Alligator mississippiensis: one gene and its partner. The protein of the gene in region 1 interacts with the protein of each later gene in a pairwise test. Links are inferred from orthologs where the notes say so. Each region holds a gene or a part of one and is shown on either strand. Other genes may lie near its edges. The genes, in order: ZNF366 and PSMA3.

Region 1 (7,894 bases):
TGGGGCCAGGAGGACATGCTTTGACAGGTCAAAGCAGGCCACCACACCCAGAACATCTTCCGGGTGATAGCTGCCCAGATGGCCGGGCAGGGGGCACACATGGCAGTAGTGCTGCACAAAGGCCAACCCTGCAACCACAGTCCACTGGCAGCTGTCCCAGAGGGGCAGATACCTCTACCGGCTGTGCAGTCCCTATCCAAGTCTGGCAGGTGCACAGCAGGTCACAGCCAGGCAGCTGCCCTCACTGCCAGACTGCTGCAGTGGGTAGAGGGTGCAGGGAACTCTCAGGGCTGCTTCAGCAGTCCAGCTAGCACAAGGGGTAATGTCCCCAGGCACCAATTGGCTGGGCTCAACAAGCTCCTGAGAGCAAGTATCCCTGAGCTACTTGCCAGGGCGGCTTTTTATACTACTGGGGCCAGGATAGGGAAGCTTTTTATACTGCTGGGGACAGCACAGGTGCTGGCCCTGGGCTCTAGCTCCCCCTGGCTGAAGATCCAGGAGGAGCCAGACAGGGTTATTTTGCCCTTAGCGGCACAATTTGCTCCACAACAAAGTGCTGTCCGAGTACGTGCACTGAAGCAAAAAGCCCCGGCTCAAATTTGCACCGCTTCTATTTGAGCTGTTGCAAGTGCACGTGCTTGTATGTGTGGATGTGCCCTATTGGTCCAAGGACAGAGCCTTGGGAGACACCGCTGCCCACATCTCTCCAGGAGGAAACCGACCCATCTACCACCACTCTCTGGGTGCATCCCATAAGCCAGTTTTTCAAGCATCTTACTGTGAAAAAATCCACATCACAGCTACTCAGTTTGCTTGTGAGAATTGGGTGCAACACTGTGTCGAAAGCCTTTTTAAAATCTAAGTAAATAACATCTATCTCCACTCCTGCATCTAAGCACTTTGTGACCTGGTCATAAAAGAGACCAGGTTAGTCAGGCAGAATCTGCCTGCTATAAATCCATGCTGGTTGCCCCTTAACATTGTATTACTTGCTGACCCCCCACAAATGTGATCCTTGTCCCTAAGGAAAGTCTTGATCATTAGGGATAAGATTATCTTTCATTATCATGGGTTATATCACAGCACTTTCTAGCTTTTGCAACACCTCAAAAGATAAAAAATGAATTATTTCTTTAAAAAAAGTCAGAGATTGCTTGTACACACCACGGGGGTTTAATTTGGTTTAGTTCTCCCTAAATTGAAATGGTGGGTTTTTTAAAACACCATTTCAATTTAGGGAGAATTAAACCAGCCTAAACCCCTGTGGCGTGTACACAAAGGTAGGGGCCTAATCCTTACCTGCCTCTTCAGCACTGGGGGTGGGGAGCGAGCTGCCAGTGGGCTGCTCTGAGCTGCTGGCAGGCCAAGCAGTCCCAGGCAGCACCTGCCTGCTGGCACTGGGCCTAGGAGGTCCCGAGGGGTGCCACAGTGCTGGAGGGAAGCACTAGCTTCCCCACAGCTGCGGAGGGAAGCACTTGACTCTCACACAGCTTGGGCAGGTAAGCTCGGGGGAAAAGGAAAAAAAAAGATCATGCTCACCACTCTTTTTTTTTCTCCAGTGGAGCCTGCCTGCATGGGCTGCCGCTGGGTCCCACAACCCCTGAGCTGCATGGGGCCCACCAAGCCCCAAGCACATCGGCTTCTAGGGCCCTGTGCACTGTTGCACTTTGCAAACTAAAACACCTCAGAGGTGTTTTATCTTAGTATGCATCAAAGTAATTTAAAGCGGAATATGATGCCGAGTGTGCAAGCAGCAATGCCATTAAGTGGAATATGCCACCAAATGTGCAAACAGCAACACCATTAAATCAGTGCAAAAGGGCATTTAAGCCACTTTAAAGGCCAATTCTGTGGTGTGTACAAGGGCCCAGAGACTCCAATCCCAATGCTGAGAAATACATCAGCAGCTGCAACTTGCACCCAAATCGGTCTGCTTGGAGCTCTGTTGAATTTTGCCCAGTCTGGGCCAGGCTTAGGTCTTGCCTAGTCTTCTGTGACACATTCCAGATGGAGGACAACCCAAAATGTTAGCATTGTTTTCAGAGCTCTGGACTGACTCTCAATCCAGCGTACAAGATGCATTATCCTGATACAGCTCACAGATAAGATCAAAATGTTGGAAATTACTATCTCACTTACAGGACAATTAAATCTCTTTTTAAAAACACTTCCTAAACTTCTGATCTAACCATTAAACTGACTCAAAGCATGTATGTTTTCATGATCATTTCCCATACCCCGTTCACTTTCCTTATATTCAGTATAGGCATTTGACTGAACACTTTTACTCTTAGGAATGTCTAAGTATTTTTGTTATAGTAGATCCATTTGAACCCACTGGGCATGCCACCACATGCAGAGGCATGCGCTTGCAGCAGCAATAATAGTAACAGCACAAATTTGTGCTGATACTTTTTGCTGCAGTGCATGCCCCTGCATGTGCACTTTGGTGTGGGGCAAACTGCTCCACTTTGGGGAAACTGCCTTTTCCCCGCTCCTCTCAGCTCCCAGTATGCTAGAGGAGCTGCGGGACAACTAAAGGAGCGGAGACACTCTGGCTGCCTGCCAGAGCATGAGCATTCCCTCTAAGCTGCGCAGCGTGCACAGCCGCATAGGCATGCCTAGCAATGCGGCATGAGTGCGCTTGCGCAGCTGCACATACCACACAGCTTAAAGGGAATGCTGCAGAGCATCTCCTGGGAGGACCAAGCCTCTATGTCTGCCGGTGCACACGTGCACCACGCTGCTTTTTTCGCTTTTATTTTTTTTTTTTTAGCTACCGGAATTTCCCAGTAGCAAAATTTGTCCCTGAACTGCAAATTTGCAGCATGGGGACAAATTTGTATAATGGGATTGTATAAATTGCAGATCTCTACAATCAAGCCATTGCTAAGCCGCCTCTATCACTTCTGGAGATAGTTTTGGTACTCTTTCGTTGCATAAAAGGACATTGCATGTCAAAAGGCTTTATTTTCCACATTGGCTTGCCAGCCTATCACTTTTTGTTATTGTATAATAAGGGAAATATTCATTTTTAATAATGGATGCAAACCAAGTTTTATTTCCAGTTATAATAAATAGATTTTTACCAGAACAAGTCCATTGACTTCAAAAGCATTCATTCAGAGTTATATCCTGGTAACTGGCCTTATGAGGGAATTTTTGATGCAGGCTTTTTTTTTTCAGTTTTTATGCATGATGAAATATAATTGTTCATCAGAAGCCATCCTCCCATTGGCTACTACACTGCTATAGTAGCAGGGTGCAGAAATTCCTTTATTTCAATGATTCCTGAAGACAGTCCAAAGAGAAATGTGAAAACTGTAATGCCATTAACGTTTGTGTTAAAAAAAAAGTTTAACTTCACAAATCTATGGAAGAAAGATGATTTTCCATTGGTTGATTTGGGACTTTTGGTTTGGTAAATGTCAGCAGCCATTAAAAATTCAGTATGGGGCACAGGGGGCCAAATTATCACAAGTATAATTCTAACAAATTGGTCACTGGCTGAGACCAAAATATATTGATATACCTGGAAAAAATAAAACAAACTAGACCTAAAGCATGATAAATAGTCTTTGCCTTGACAAACCAAGGTGCCTTTTCATCTGTCTTTCATTTCTTACCTTATAAAACCAAACTAATGATTTGTTGTAACCACAAAAGCTTTCAAATTACCCTCAATGTGTAATTTTTGTCAAGTATGCAGTAAATTTAAATTTGCACTTCTTTTCCTCACACCAATGGAAGGTTTCTTCTTTTTTGTACCCATGTATGTATTTGTTTTGTTTTTACTGTGTCATATAAGAGTTCTCCTTGTTTGTAGCTAAGGATTAGGTTATCTGTGCTCTTTGGCTAACACAGTTCTGCACATGAGATATGGGCATCTAAGTTGTAGCCACTTCTTTTGGAACTTCATTCGTTTTGATGTCGTTGCATACAGTGAGCGATAAATTAATTCTTATGAAGCCAATACTGCAATTATAATATTTAAGGAATTCCTTTTGGTTTGGTTATATTTATTTTTCCAAACATTTTGTTTGAGAGAAAACGAGATTGCTATCTACTGTTTCCTTATTTTTTGCAGGAAAGCAAAGGGTTGTTGACTTCCTCTCCCCTCCCTTCCTTCCTTCTTTCTGAAGGTACTGTACTCATCTGAAAAAAGAGAACGAAATGATTGTTCCTGTTCTCTTTCTTAAGTTGTTTCAGACACTGTCCCTACTAGTTTTCAAAGTTTATTGCAATCTCCACACACGGGGGGAGAGAGAGAGAGTACAGAGAGTGAGAGCGATTGCCAGCAAGAGAGCAGGTAGGGAGTATAGGGCAGGGATCATTCCAGATTCAGCAACTGGTAAGTTATTCATGAAAGTATTTTTGCTTAATGCTTTAGAAGTTTAATATACACCTTTATATTCAGGAAAGTAATTTATCAAATACAGATTTTTCTTGTTAAAAAGATAATGATTGTGCACACTGGCATACAGTATATATTAAAACTTTGGATATCAATAGTCTGTTTTCTCGATACCACCATTAGTAGCATGAAGCTTAATCTAGGATATGTTTTCAATTAACTTGATGATATTTGCAATGTTAAATTGTATAACTCCTTGCTTATGAAGCTGGATAGGTGACTTCTTACCAGGAGTCTCTGTAGCTTATTATAGGCTTCATTCACTCTCTGTTGAAGTTTTGAGCAAGCTTCACTATGGCCATAGCAGAGGTAGAGATAGGTAAGTGGGTAATGTATGACTAGTGTGTTTTATGTATCACCTGCCATTAACATCCCAAGAATTAATTAAAATGGTAAATCAAGCTACTGAGCTTCAACCAGTGTGTCAGAAATGAGGATGAATTGGTTTTTTTTATAAACAGAACTGAATTATGTGCGAGTATATGTGTGTATATCTCAGCACTTGTGCAAATGTATATAGTCTGAAAACTGTGCCATTTGACTACTTAAGCAAATTCCAGTTTCATTTGAAAACCAAAGACTTAACATGACAAAGTATGTGACCAATACTAAGATTAATTACCAAGGCTCATGAAATGATAGACTAAAGTGCTGTGCATGCATTTACAACCCTTATCTACCACTGGCTTGTCAGCTACAGTTTCCGAGTATCAGATACAAGATATTTAATGTAAGCTAGCAAAGGTTTACTGCACAGCAAATACTGAAATTTAAGCATGCATTTTATTTGTTGTAAAGCAAGTGAACAGAAAGATCAGCAGAGACAACAAAGATTAGAATAGGTGATCAGATTTCTGTGAAAAAGCCCAATCATCTCCTAGGTTAATTCTTATTTGCAAGTGGAGACTTCCTGATCTTTCGTACCTTTTGTTGGATGTTTAAAATCTCAACAATGTTGTTCTAAATAGGGTGCGGGAACAGGGCATCCCAGAACTGATGTAGACAGTCAGCTTTGGCATCTAGTAGAGCCTCTGAAGTCTGTGGGTACTAGAAGTGACTGCCTTTTCTCAGGAGAGGCATATTTTGCCCTTCTGATTGAACAAACCGTTCAACAGATCCTTTCACCCTCCCTCTGCCTCCTTTCTATGAGTTTTTCCATTGCAGGTAGTGATTTACCCCAAATTACTAAGATCTCCCTTACCCCCCCCCGGCACATTTTAACATAGTGATAACAGGAGGAGTAACTGTTTACAGATATCAGTAGTGAAAAGCATCAGCTTTGTCTAGTTTGGTGCAATTATGAGCTTTATTTAGATCATATTTCTCCCACAAAGAGTTATGCCACTATTATAGAGACCTCTTTTCAAATGCACACATGAAATAGGTTGGGCATGTTTTTCATTTGGGAAATTGGTTCCCATTTAGCTGATCAATTGTCTGTTTTTCCTGACCAAGCGTGGATTTAAACAATCAAATGGGGATTTAAGCACCTATTTTGGCAACTGCATTTGAAGATTGGATCTTCACCTCTACATCAAACAGAGAAGCCACTTGCTTAATCAACAGGTTCTGTGGTTGTTAAAACAATAAATAAATCTCAAACTGCCAAATGACCATGAAAATAGCAAACACCTCTAAGTTCTGAACTAGTTGGATCCAGAAGTTTGTTTCAGCCTACAGTAAAGACAGGAGCCAACTACACAGTTTATATTACAAAGTTTGAAAAATTATAAAAAATCATGGATGTTTGAGGTCATTGTTTGGGTTCATGCTTCCAGGCCTTTCTTCAAGAGCTCTAGGAAAAAGGCAATTCTACAAGTCTAAATGAAAAAATAAAACCACCCTTCCCCAAGCATAATTTATATTTGTAGTAATTAGTCAAAAGTAATATTATGCTATTTTAAAACTCACTTCCTCATTAATATTCTATTAAAATAGCCCTGCAGTGTAATACTGCATAATTGAATTGTAACTGGAAAGTGGAAGCTTTGCATTTATTCTTGGATTTCACCTTTCAGTTTCATTTTTGTTTGATGCAGTATTTCAGTTTTGGTCACTTGCAGCTTTTTTTGTACATTTTTATTCTAAGCACATGACAGTAGCATTTTATATAAAGACAAATTTATAAAACAGGTGCACTTCTATTTGAGAGTTCAGGAAAGGGAGATTTTTGGTTGATATGTTCTTAGCTCACATTGAGAGAGAGTAACAGGCAGAGAAGCATCCCTTATGAAAACAAAAAACTTTGTACAGAATAGTAACTGGTTTATGGCAAAAAGTTGAACGTTTGTGAAATGTGGTTTTAGTGATTCATTTCTATACATCATTAAAAAAGAAATTGTTTTCATGGAAGCAATGACAGATATTTTTTTAACATGCTTAAAAACTTGTTTTTTAATAAAGATACTAGTAACTTTTGAGAATTGTTAAAGTTGAACCATTTCATTTTAAATAATGAAAAAGTCATCTTGAAAAGTACTTCAATAAAAAATGACAATATGTTCTCATGGTAGATATACATATAAGTGAACCCAATCCCACAGCCCTTAATTTCTGTGGGCCCATGGAAGTCCAAGGACAAAGAACTTAATCAAAAACCCATCAATGTCAATCGGTATCTTTCTGTAAATTTCAGTAGGCCTTCTTTTGGGAGGCAAGAACTGTGGACTTAGGGGTAGATTCTCTGCTAACATAAATTCATGTCAATCTGTGTGTTACCAATGGCAGCGCATAGATTTTCATCACTAGAGGAACCTGTTCTCTGGCACTACATGTTTAAAACACAATATTTCTTCTCACATTTTAGCATCTATTTTATGGTTTTTCAGCAGTAGGAGAATTCAGTCATTTAATTATCTGGTATTTTACACAGAAATCTAGAAGAATCTCAACCTAGTGCTTATAATGTAGATATACAAAGTGCCTAGAGCACTGGAGGACACATATCCAGAAGAGATATGCATTGGTGTGCCAGCATGATGCACGTGTGCGCTGGCAGACATTGAGGCTTGGTCTATTTGTGAGGTAGAATTATGATGGAAGAAAAATTGATGGTAGGTTCAAACCAACAGCTCAAAACAAAACAAACTTACAGCATAGATAACCAATCATAGAACATTCATCACTGTGGCTCTGATATAGTAAAGACACCTGTATGAGTGGACCATTTCAGAAATGCAGTAAGTGCTATATACAGCCAGAAAGTAGTTGAAAGAATTAATTAGTATTTAATCAACAGAACTTCGACACATTTATTTCCTGAAAGCCATATTTTCTCCTAAGCATCTTCTTGGAAAATATTGTTAAACCAAATTAACTGTTAAACCTTTTTAAAAAAATAGTTTTTCCAGTCCCGCTCCCCATTCCAAGGGAGCTACTGAATAGGGTGAAAGAGCAGGTCGGGTCAGAGAAAAGAGTATTAGCCAGAAAAATAAACTAAAGCTTTTAAATAAAGGAAGGATTTGCAAAGAAGTTAGCGGG
Region 2 (8,848 bases), on another chromosome or scaffold:
TAAATGTACACTTTATTTCCTCCTGTTGTGGTGTTAAATATCTATAAAAATCATTAACTAAGGCCTGGTTGGGGTATAGAGCCAGTGGAACGAAATGTGTTCATTATGATGGTACCAGCTGTCTCCATTTCCTGATGAGACATACCAGTTGACTCATGCAGTGGTTTTCAACCTAACATCGATGGCCAGTCCCAACCCGGTGCCCCTCACTCCTGACCCAGGGTGTGGGGCACGAGGGGGATGAGTGGGATACAAGGGGCCCCAAGCAGCCCCTTGCAGCCTGCAAGGGAAAATCACGGTTGCCCATGTTTTTCTTCTTCAGAGGAGAATCCATTTTTAAGATTTGTTCGTAACCCTTTCATATATTCCTGTGCCCTGCTGTGTTGAGAAACGGTGAACTAATGTATACTGACTTCTCTGTGGCCAGTGCAAACTTACCCTCATGCATATGTGACATACTTGCACTTACTTACAGTGCTGGGTGTCTGGGAAAAGTTTATTAACCTGAGAAAAGGAGGTACCTGTGGAAGCACTTGGAGATTGATTGGGATTGGGCCGCAGGCATGTCTGCTCTCCATGTGGTTATGCCTGTAATAAAGGCACCTTGCCTCCACAGGGATCTGAACTGAGAGGGTCAGGTGCCAAGGAGCCCTGTACAGTGAATGAAGAGATCTTGTGCTTCCCAAGGGCCATCTCAAGCATCTACCATTAAGCAGGGAGGCACCTGTGGCCAGCCAGTAGGAACTGCTAGGCACAGCGATGTGTCTGAATTCCTGCGTCTACCTCGGGGCTTTGAGGAAGTAAGCTCCGTTCTGTTGAGATCCAGATCGCTCGGAGGGACAGTGCCTGCCTGCACCACAATGCATTGAGTCCAGTTTAAAGCACGGTATCCATCATTCCTTCTTGAACAAATGATGATGATGCTGGTGCCCACTTCTGTCCAATAGCCTAGCAGCAAGGAGACTTCCCTAGGAAACCAGAGACCTTGGACTGTAGGCCCTCCTGACCCTGAAGGGACTGAGACTCACATCTTTGAGCTCCTAGTAGAATGCCCTTGTCACCAAGTTATGGGCCTTCCTGCCTGGCTGCTCATTTAGCCGGCAACGAAGCCCAGGTGAATTCAAAATGTGAGCAAGCAAACAATTCTACTAGTCTAGAAGGAGGCAGACACAGACTTGGCACTCACAAAGGTATCTCGGCTGATCTGTTGTAACTGCGTAGTCTGTCCACATCTACCATGCCGTAAGTGAAGCTGGACCCACAATGGTTTGCCGCATATAAAACAAGTGATGAATTAATTGCAATTTAGTTTCTGTTCTGCCAAGGGGTATAGCACACAAGAAGCAGTTGCATTGGATTCAGCTGGACCATGGGAGATTTCTTCCCCCCCCCTTTTTCAATCAGTATAATTATTTCACGTGTCTGTGCCAGTGGTTCTCAATCCGGTGTTGCAAGAGCACCTCAAGTGCTGCAACACAGGCACCGCTGCTGTGGCCAGGTAAAAGTGCATGCAGGGCTGGGGCATGCCCATGCTCCTCCTGCGTTACAGTTCTCTGATGAGCCTAAAGCTGGCAGGAGAGCTACTTTTGTGCTGCAGCCCTCCCTCCACACCCCCACGTACGTTCACTCCTCCCGGAAGCAGAAGTACGTGGGACAGTTGCAACTGCCCATGCGTCTTTGCTTCCAGGAGCCCCTGTGCAGGTTTGGAGCAGGAAGGGCTGTGGCAGCAGCTGGTACCTGGAAGCTTGCTTTAGGCTTGTTGAATAACCCTAGTGCAGGTTGAGCGTGCATACATGCTGTGCCCCTTCCTGGTCTGGCCGTGCATGAGTCACACGGAGCACCTTTACCTGGCTGCATTGGCAGCCGCAGCGTCCGGTTGAGAATCAGAGGTAAACTGAAGCAGCACAACGGTGCCTCTGAACCGAGGATGCTGCCGCATTCAAACCGGTGGTGGAGGGATGCCTGCCATTTAAGAAGCTTGAGAGCCACTCTTCTGTGCCTTTAATCACTTAAGACGGGTGCGGGCTGAAGCGAGCCTGGGTGAGCTACAAAATACGTTTTAAAAAGGGTATTTTCAGCCTTTTGTCTTTCCTTTGGGCATCTTGAAATGGCTGAGATTTACGAGGCTGGCTGGGGAGGAGTCAATATGGCAAACCAACACCAAGTGTCTTTTTTTTGTCAACAACGCAGCAGCCATCTTTGGAGCACTTCAAGACATCCTCGGAAGCCGCTCGGTGTCCAAGGAATATTATAGCCAGACGGGCCGCATCCCGGACTGGTGCTGTCTCAACAACCCTCCTTTGGAAATGATGTTTGACGTCGGCAAAACACCACCGCCGTTGATGAAGAGGGCTTTTTCCACAGAGAAATAAGTGTCTAAGCACTACGCTGGTTTTCCTTTGACTGTTTCAGGTGCATGTAACAATGTTGCTCTTCATATGTTAGGTAAATTATGTAACACTTTAAAATGAATGACACGTGTGTAGCTTGGGAGCGTGGTGCTGGGAAGGGCTACGCTGCAGATGGATCCAGCCACGTCTAGTCGAAAACCAGATGGGGTACTCTGCTTGTCTCTTTCTAGGGAGCACATATAACCGGCAAAAGTTGTTACCAAGTCGTCTGTCCTATTTATATGTACAGTAGATGAAATTAGGAGGCTTCGTTTTTACTTTTAAATCAGAAGAATAGAGGAAACTCTGTTACCAGAAATGTCTGTTGAATTTTCTCTGCCAGACTGTGTGTGTCCACATTAACAAACAGTTGGCTCAAAGATGCATTAAAATATCTTCTGAAAACAGTTTTGTGATCACAAGGTCTGTGGAAAGACATCAAGGGCTAGGCCTAAAATTCCTATTTTCAGTGATTTGCTTCTGCCAGACACTGTCACATGCATTGTCACTCGAATCTACCTGCTAAAAACTTTTTACCTGAACATTTAGAAATTATAAAGGAGAAGCTTAATAATGGAACTTCTCTCCCCACTTCAAATAAAATGGAAACTTCCTCTGGCATTTTTTAAACACGTCCTCCTATAGCAGTAAGTATGAAATACAAATGCAAAATTAATCTCTATGGTAACTGTTGTACAATAGCTACTAATATTCAGACCAAAAACAAAATGCTTCAGATTCGTTAACAGGGACTCAAGTGACCATTATTTTTGGCTTCTGCAGTCCGGTTTGTTTTATAACTGGCAGTGGGATACTCCATTTTCATTGCATGTCCCCACAAACCTTGTAACAGTCGGAGATTTGGGGCATCTCTACTGTACTTTAATTACTCCAAAGATCTGTTGTTTCATAAATTCAGTCTTAAAACTCAATCTTGTATCTGGATATGCACAGCATGCTATTGTGGCACTTAAAGTAGATGTAGTGTTACAGTGTGTAGGTGTGTGAAATACTGGGGCCAGTTCTGGTGTTCGCACCAAAAAAGAGCCTGAAAACTTGGGTGGTGTACAGAAAGTATTTGAGGGATGGAAAAAACGCCTTAAAAAGCAAGAGGCGACTTGTTTGCAAGGTGTAAGCCCTTTTTAAAGGGAGAACCCAGCAGAGGAAGGTGCAGCAAAACCCAATGGGAAGGCAAACCAAAGTAAGATACTCTATTGAGAAATAAGACAGATTTTTCCCACGGGAGTCTATTAACCAGCAGATGCTTGGTGAGAGCTAGGCAGACACGGCGGAGCTGCAGGCGCTGGGCTGTTGCCCGAAGCAGAAGTGAGCCTTCCTGCGAGTCGCTGCCTTGAAACAAAGACGGAGAAATTGGGCGAGGGCAAAGGGACTCGGAGCTCGAGTGCCAGGGAGATTTGGGCAGCCGGACTCTCCCCGACACGGGGCAGCACGGTGGTCACTGCTCTGCGGGGAAACAGGCCCTGAGGCCCAGCTGCGAAGGCTGGGCTGTGGGATGGGGATGCTGCTGCCCCGTGGGCCCTGAATGGCGGCAGAGGCTGGGCCTGATGCTCTGACGGCCTCTTCTGGCTTTCAAGGCTGCGCAAAACCCTACTGGAACGGACCCCTTGCTACAAGCATTACGGCTCGCTCGGCCTCAGCTGCTGGGGAGTCGCAGGCGCTTGAACGCCAGCCTCTGCAGGCCGTGGCGCTGACCGGCTTCCCGGTGCTCCCCTCTCCCGGCACGATCACGAGCTGCCCAGAGTTGGGGCTCCCGATGCCCCAGGCTCCGGTTCTTCCGGTTACGCAGCGCTGCCCGCGCTACCGCTCTTCTACTTCCCACCCCGGAGACGTGCGAAGCTGGGCCCCGGCTTGCCTCCCAGGAGAGCGCGCGCGGGGTGTCGCTCCAGCGTGGGCCTCCTCTGCGTGCCCTCGAGGGGAGGAGAAGGAGCCCAGCGCTCCGTATTTGTAATCCCAGGCGTGGCGGGGGCTCCCCAGGGCGTGGGGTTTGTTTTGGGTGTTATTTCCAGCGGCCGATCCCAGTCCAAACTCGAACTCGGGAGCCGTGTCTACAGGTGCCCGTGGGCTGTGTCACTTCAACCAGGCCGGGGGGGTTGGATGCTCCCCGCACCCACGCGGCCACATCCCAGACCCTGAGGCCTGTGAGTCCGGATGCCCCCAGCCCGGGCTGACATTATCCCGAAGGCCCAGCAAGGGTCAGCCGTTGTTGCGTGTACTTTGTGCCCTGAGCTGTAACCGGGCTTGCTGCGGCACACCCACAGTGCCCTGTGGCATAGGGAGTGGGCGAGTGCCACCGTGGGCAGGGCAGTGCCAAGGGACAGGGCTGGCCTTGTAGCCGCACCAGTGTCTGGCAGCTCCTCGGGCAGGTGCTTTTCATCACTGCTCGGGGCACAAAAAGCACGTGCGTCCTTCCCCGGGCAGCGCAAAAACCTATGCGCCCAACGTGGGGCTCGAACCCACGACCCTGGGATTAAGAGTCCCATGCTCTACCGACTGAGCTAGCCGGGCCCTGTGACCCAGCCTCTTCCGGAGGCTTCTTCAGAATTCTACGCCTCTCTGCGCGTGCGCGCGTAACTCCGGAAGTCAGTGTTTGTCCTCCCCTTGGAGGGGGGGCGGGGGAAAGAGAAACAAGTCAGAACCCGGCTGCGCATGCGCGGCCATGACTCTGCAGCCGAGCTGATTGGCCAGTTGCGCGGGCCAATGGGCGCGCGCGTTGTTGGGCAGTGGGGGCGCTGCTGTGACTGGCGCCGCCGCCATGAGCTCCATCGGCACCGGGGTGAGTGCTGCCGGGCCGGGCCGGGCCTGCCCCCTTCCCCCCATTTCTCCTCGGGGCGGGGCGGGGCGCCGCTGAGGCACCGGGAACCGGCAGGGTGGGGCCGCCCGTCTGCCGAGGGAAGACCGGGGCAAGCTGGGCCCGGCTGGGCCCGGCGGCGCAGCGTGTGCTTTGTAAGACGGTGCCGACGAGAAGTGCTTTCGGAAGGTCCCGGGAGCACATCGGTTCTGAAAAGCTGCTTTTCTGGAGTGGCGAGGGCCTGGCCGGAACCAAGCGGGGTTTGGGTTGGGTTTTTTTGGTGATGCCTCGTATTGGACCGACTCTGTAGTTGGCGGGCAGGTCAGGAGAGCTTTTGGGTGCAAGCCGCCCTTCAGGTTTGCACGTTCAGTTAAACGCGATGAGCAGCCTTCCTTTAAACAGAAATCTTCCTCTTCCCATCCTTCACGTGGTAAAACACAAGCGTCGCTCTTGCTCCTGCTGAGCCAGGAGGTGTCGCTGGCGACCGGCCCGGCCCCGGCCCCGGCCCCGGCCCGAGCCGCCCAGCTCCCCTGTCCGCCTCTTTGCTCGCTGCCCGACTCCCGGGACGTGGACGGAGCCGCCGGGAAGCGCATTGAGGTTGTTCTCTGCCGCTGCGCCGTCCACAACGTCGTCGTCCTTTCCCTTTGCGAACTGCCTGAAGAGCAATTTTAAAAAAGCATTGCAAATGTTAAAAATACTACTAAGAACCGCACACAAAGTTACAGCCCGTGTGAATCTGTTATCTGTGCTGTAGCCTCGAATCCCTCAGGTTCCTGCGGGGCCCTGTCCTTTGATGGGTTTCAGCTTCAGTATGACTGTCCCTGAAAGAAGTGATTTTTTTTTTAATTGCTTTTAATTAAGCCAGACAACACTGATTCATTTTGTTTCTTTATGTATTAAAGGAAACAATTGATTTACATGTTTTGTATTTTTGTCCTCTTTATTCAATCACCAAAACCCATGTTAAATTTAGCGCATCCTACTTTTTGCAAAACATTTAAGACTTTTACAGAAGAGTGACTTAGTGCTGCTTGCAATATGAACTGTATCGATAACGCTTTTATGCTGAGTGTGTGTTTGTCTTCTACAGTATGACTTGTCGGCTTCCACGTTCTCTCCAGATGGCAGAGTATTTCAAGTTGAATATGCCATGAAAGCTGTGGAGAATAGTAGGTAAGACAGAAAAGTTTTTTCCTCATCAGTTTCTTTTTAAAAAAAACACCCAACAAAAACGAACAAAAACCAGTGGAACTAGAGGAGATGAGTATGGTGACATAGCAGTGAAAATTACAGCGTCAAAATAACTGATGAACAATTGTGGCCCTGCCTTTCTGTCAATAATGTTTTCTGATAAAATATATAAGGCATGTAATGACTGTTCATTTTGGCAGGACCAAAAGCATAAAATAATGCTGTGAGAGAATGCGAAGGGTAAGAGTAAAATTATCGAAGCGTACTAAGGATAATAAAGCCTTATGCTTTGGTGCAAAAGCTGATTGCAGGGTTTGCTCCTGGATGGGAGATAATGGAAGTTTGTCAAAGCCCATTGTATAGATGGTGAATTGAGGTGCTGAGAAATGACTTCCCAAAGCCATGCAGGCTTGCAATAACATCACTGGAGGTTGCCAGTTAATGTACCAAACCTACAGTGTTGGCTTCCTTAAGAGTACCTATGTTTTTACAGATGTTGTCCAAGAAGCAGCCTGCAAATATAATTTTATATCCGCTGTGTACAGCTTGCAGCTTGGCTTGACTGTCACCAGCAAATGGCGAGGAAAGTGTTTGAGAGGAATTGAGTCAGTCTGTATGCATGGACCGTATCCGGCCCTGATCCCGACTAAGGGATCTGTAGAAATAAACTGTTCACAACCTCCAGTTAGTAGCAGTATATCATCTTGACAACATATTGCCAACTTGGTGACATTATTAAGGGCCTCAACCTTTATAATACCATTCTAAAACTAAATACGGTGCATCCTGAAATCTGAAACTTGCAGCCAAAACTGTTGTCTTCTCATTTTGAAAAAGGCATGTGCCAGCCTGTAGTTAATACAGTGGTCAGGTTTTTGACAACAGAAATACCACTCGGGTCCATGTGGTCTTCCAGGAATACCTTTTGAATTCACTTGGCTGGTGGAACTCGTAGTGTTGGCTAGGTTCTGTTTTCCTCTCATGTTCTGTATGTTGGCGGGGAACATGCATGAGATGCCTAAATGGAGTAGGCAGGGGTTGTAATCCTTGTGATCAGCTGATGTCCAGACATCCTTGGGATACTTGTCCAACTACCTGGATGCACTTAGGAGCTGTGCTTCTGTTCCCCTGGTGTGTTTGTTGGGTGAGATGGAGACTCATGTAAAATAGCACAGTTTCCTTGTAAGATGCCCCCAATTCAAAGCTACAACAAAGCTGTCCAGGCTCCAAGAGAATTGCTTTCCATCTTCCACATTTTCCAAACTGTTTAGCTCTAGATGTGCAGTGTGTGTGAATAGTTTCCACATGTGGGCAAAGGGAAGGTGGGAAAAAGGAAAATGCTAAAACATTGCTCTTTTTAGAAAGTTTCAGGGGTTGCAATGCATCTTCAAGGTAGAACTGAAATCATGGCATTCTGTTGTACTTATTGCTGTGCACACTTATATGACAACACTACCATTTAATCTCCCAACCCCACTCCTAAAGCTTTAGTGTTTTTTAAAGACTGTTGTTACATTTGACTTATCTTTCAGTACAGCAATTGGCATAAGATGTAAAGATGGTGTTGTATTCGGAGTAGAGAAACTCGTCCTGTCCAAACTTTATGAAGAAGGCTCCAATAAACGTCTTTTTAATGTTGATCGACATGTTGGAATGGTGAGTATTATTTGACGCTGTATGTGTTCTCCTAAATCTATCCTACAATTTACAAACAGAATTAAACCTTGGTCACTGAGTTACAAAAGGTGTCTGCATTTTGACTGGCTGTTAATGCTCTTCATTTCAGGCAGTGGCAGGACTCTTAGCAGATGCACGTTCTTTGGCAGACATAGCTAGAGAAGAAGCCTCTAACTTTAGATCTAACTATGGCTATAATATTCCACTGAAGGTAAGTGACTGGTGCTCCCAGTATAGTTCCTTAGATCTTGTAACACGATGATCTATTTAAATCGCCTTGAGGCATGTTTACTGTCATAAATGAAGTGTTTCAAAACCCTTCCTCCCTTTTCCCACAGCATCTTGCAGATAGAGTGGCCATGTATGTACATGCCTACACACTATACAGTGCCGTGAGACCTTTTGGCTGCAGGTACATCTTTCAAATATATGTATACTCTTTATTTACTGCCCACCCAAAATCTGGTTTGGTATTTAAGTCAGTCTTCACATAGCATCTATGCCTCAGTAAGTGCATTTTAGTGCAATTTGAAGTGAAAAGCTTGTCTGTATAAAGATATTTATATTACACAGATTTTATTTAAAACTTCCTTTCTGCCTTTTAACTAAAAAAAAAAAAAAAAGGCATTCTGAAGGCTGCGAAAAACCAATGTAAGAAACCAGCAGAGTCAGTTGCTGAAAAGAGATTGTGCCAGCAACTTTGTAAGTGGTAATACCCTAAACTTTAAGAAGGGTTTAAGAAGTTTAGAAGATAGCATGTAGGGGAAGTTTTGCTGCAAGA

Evidence for each region.
Region 2: the proteins of ZNF366 (region 1) and PSMA3 interact in binary tests that used the Homo sapiens proteins (3 or more experiments, as listed by UniProt). The link is inferred for Alligator mississippiensis from reciprocal best matches to the Homo sapiens genes ZNF366 and PSMA3.

Annotation. Positions count from the first base shown.
Region 1 is NC_081826.1:252,115,212-252,123,105, reverse strand, and holds the start of ZNF366 (zinc finger protein 366), read left to right. Parts: upstream 1-4,186; 5' UTR 4,187-4,351; intron 4,352-7,894. UniProt on the Homo sapiens protein: Has transcriptional repression activity. Acts as a corepressor of ESR1; the function seems to involve CTBP1 and histone deacetylases.
Region 2 is NC_081825.1:295,235,959-295,244,806, forward strand, and holds the start of PSMA3 (proteasome subunit alpha type-3), read left to right. Parts: upstream 1-5,081; 5' UTR 5,082-5,163; coding exon 5,164-5,184; intron 5,185-6,289; coding exon 6,290-6,372; intron 6,373-7,922; coding exon 7,923-8,046; intron 8,047-8,176; coding exon 8,177-8,278; intron 8,279-8,405; coding exon 8,406-8,479; intron 8,480-8,848. Other genes in the region: ACTR10 (actin-related protein 10), read left to right, coding at 2,191-2,372. UniProt on the Homo sapiens protein: Component of the 20S core proteasome complex involved in the proteolytic degradation of most intracellular proteins. This complex plays numerous essential roles within the cell by associating with different regulatory particles.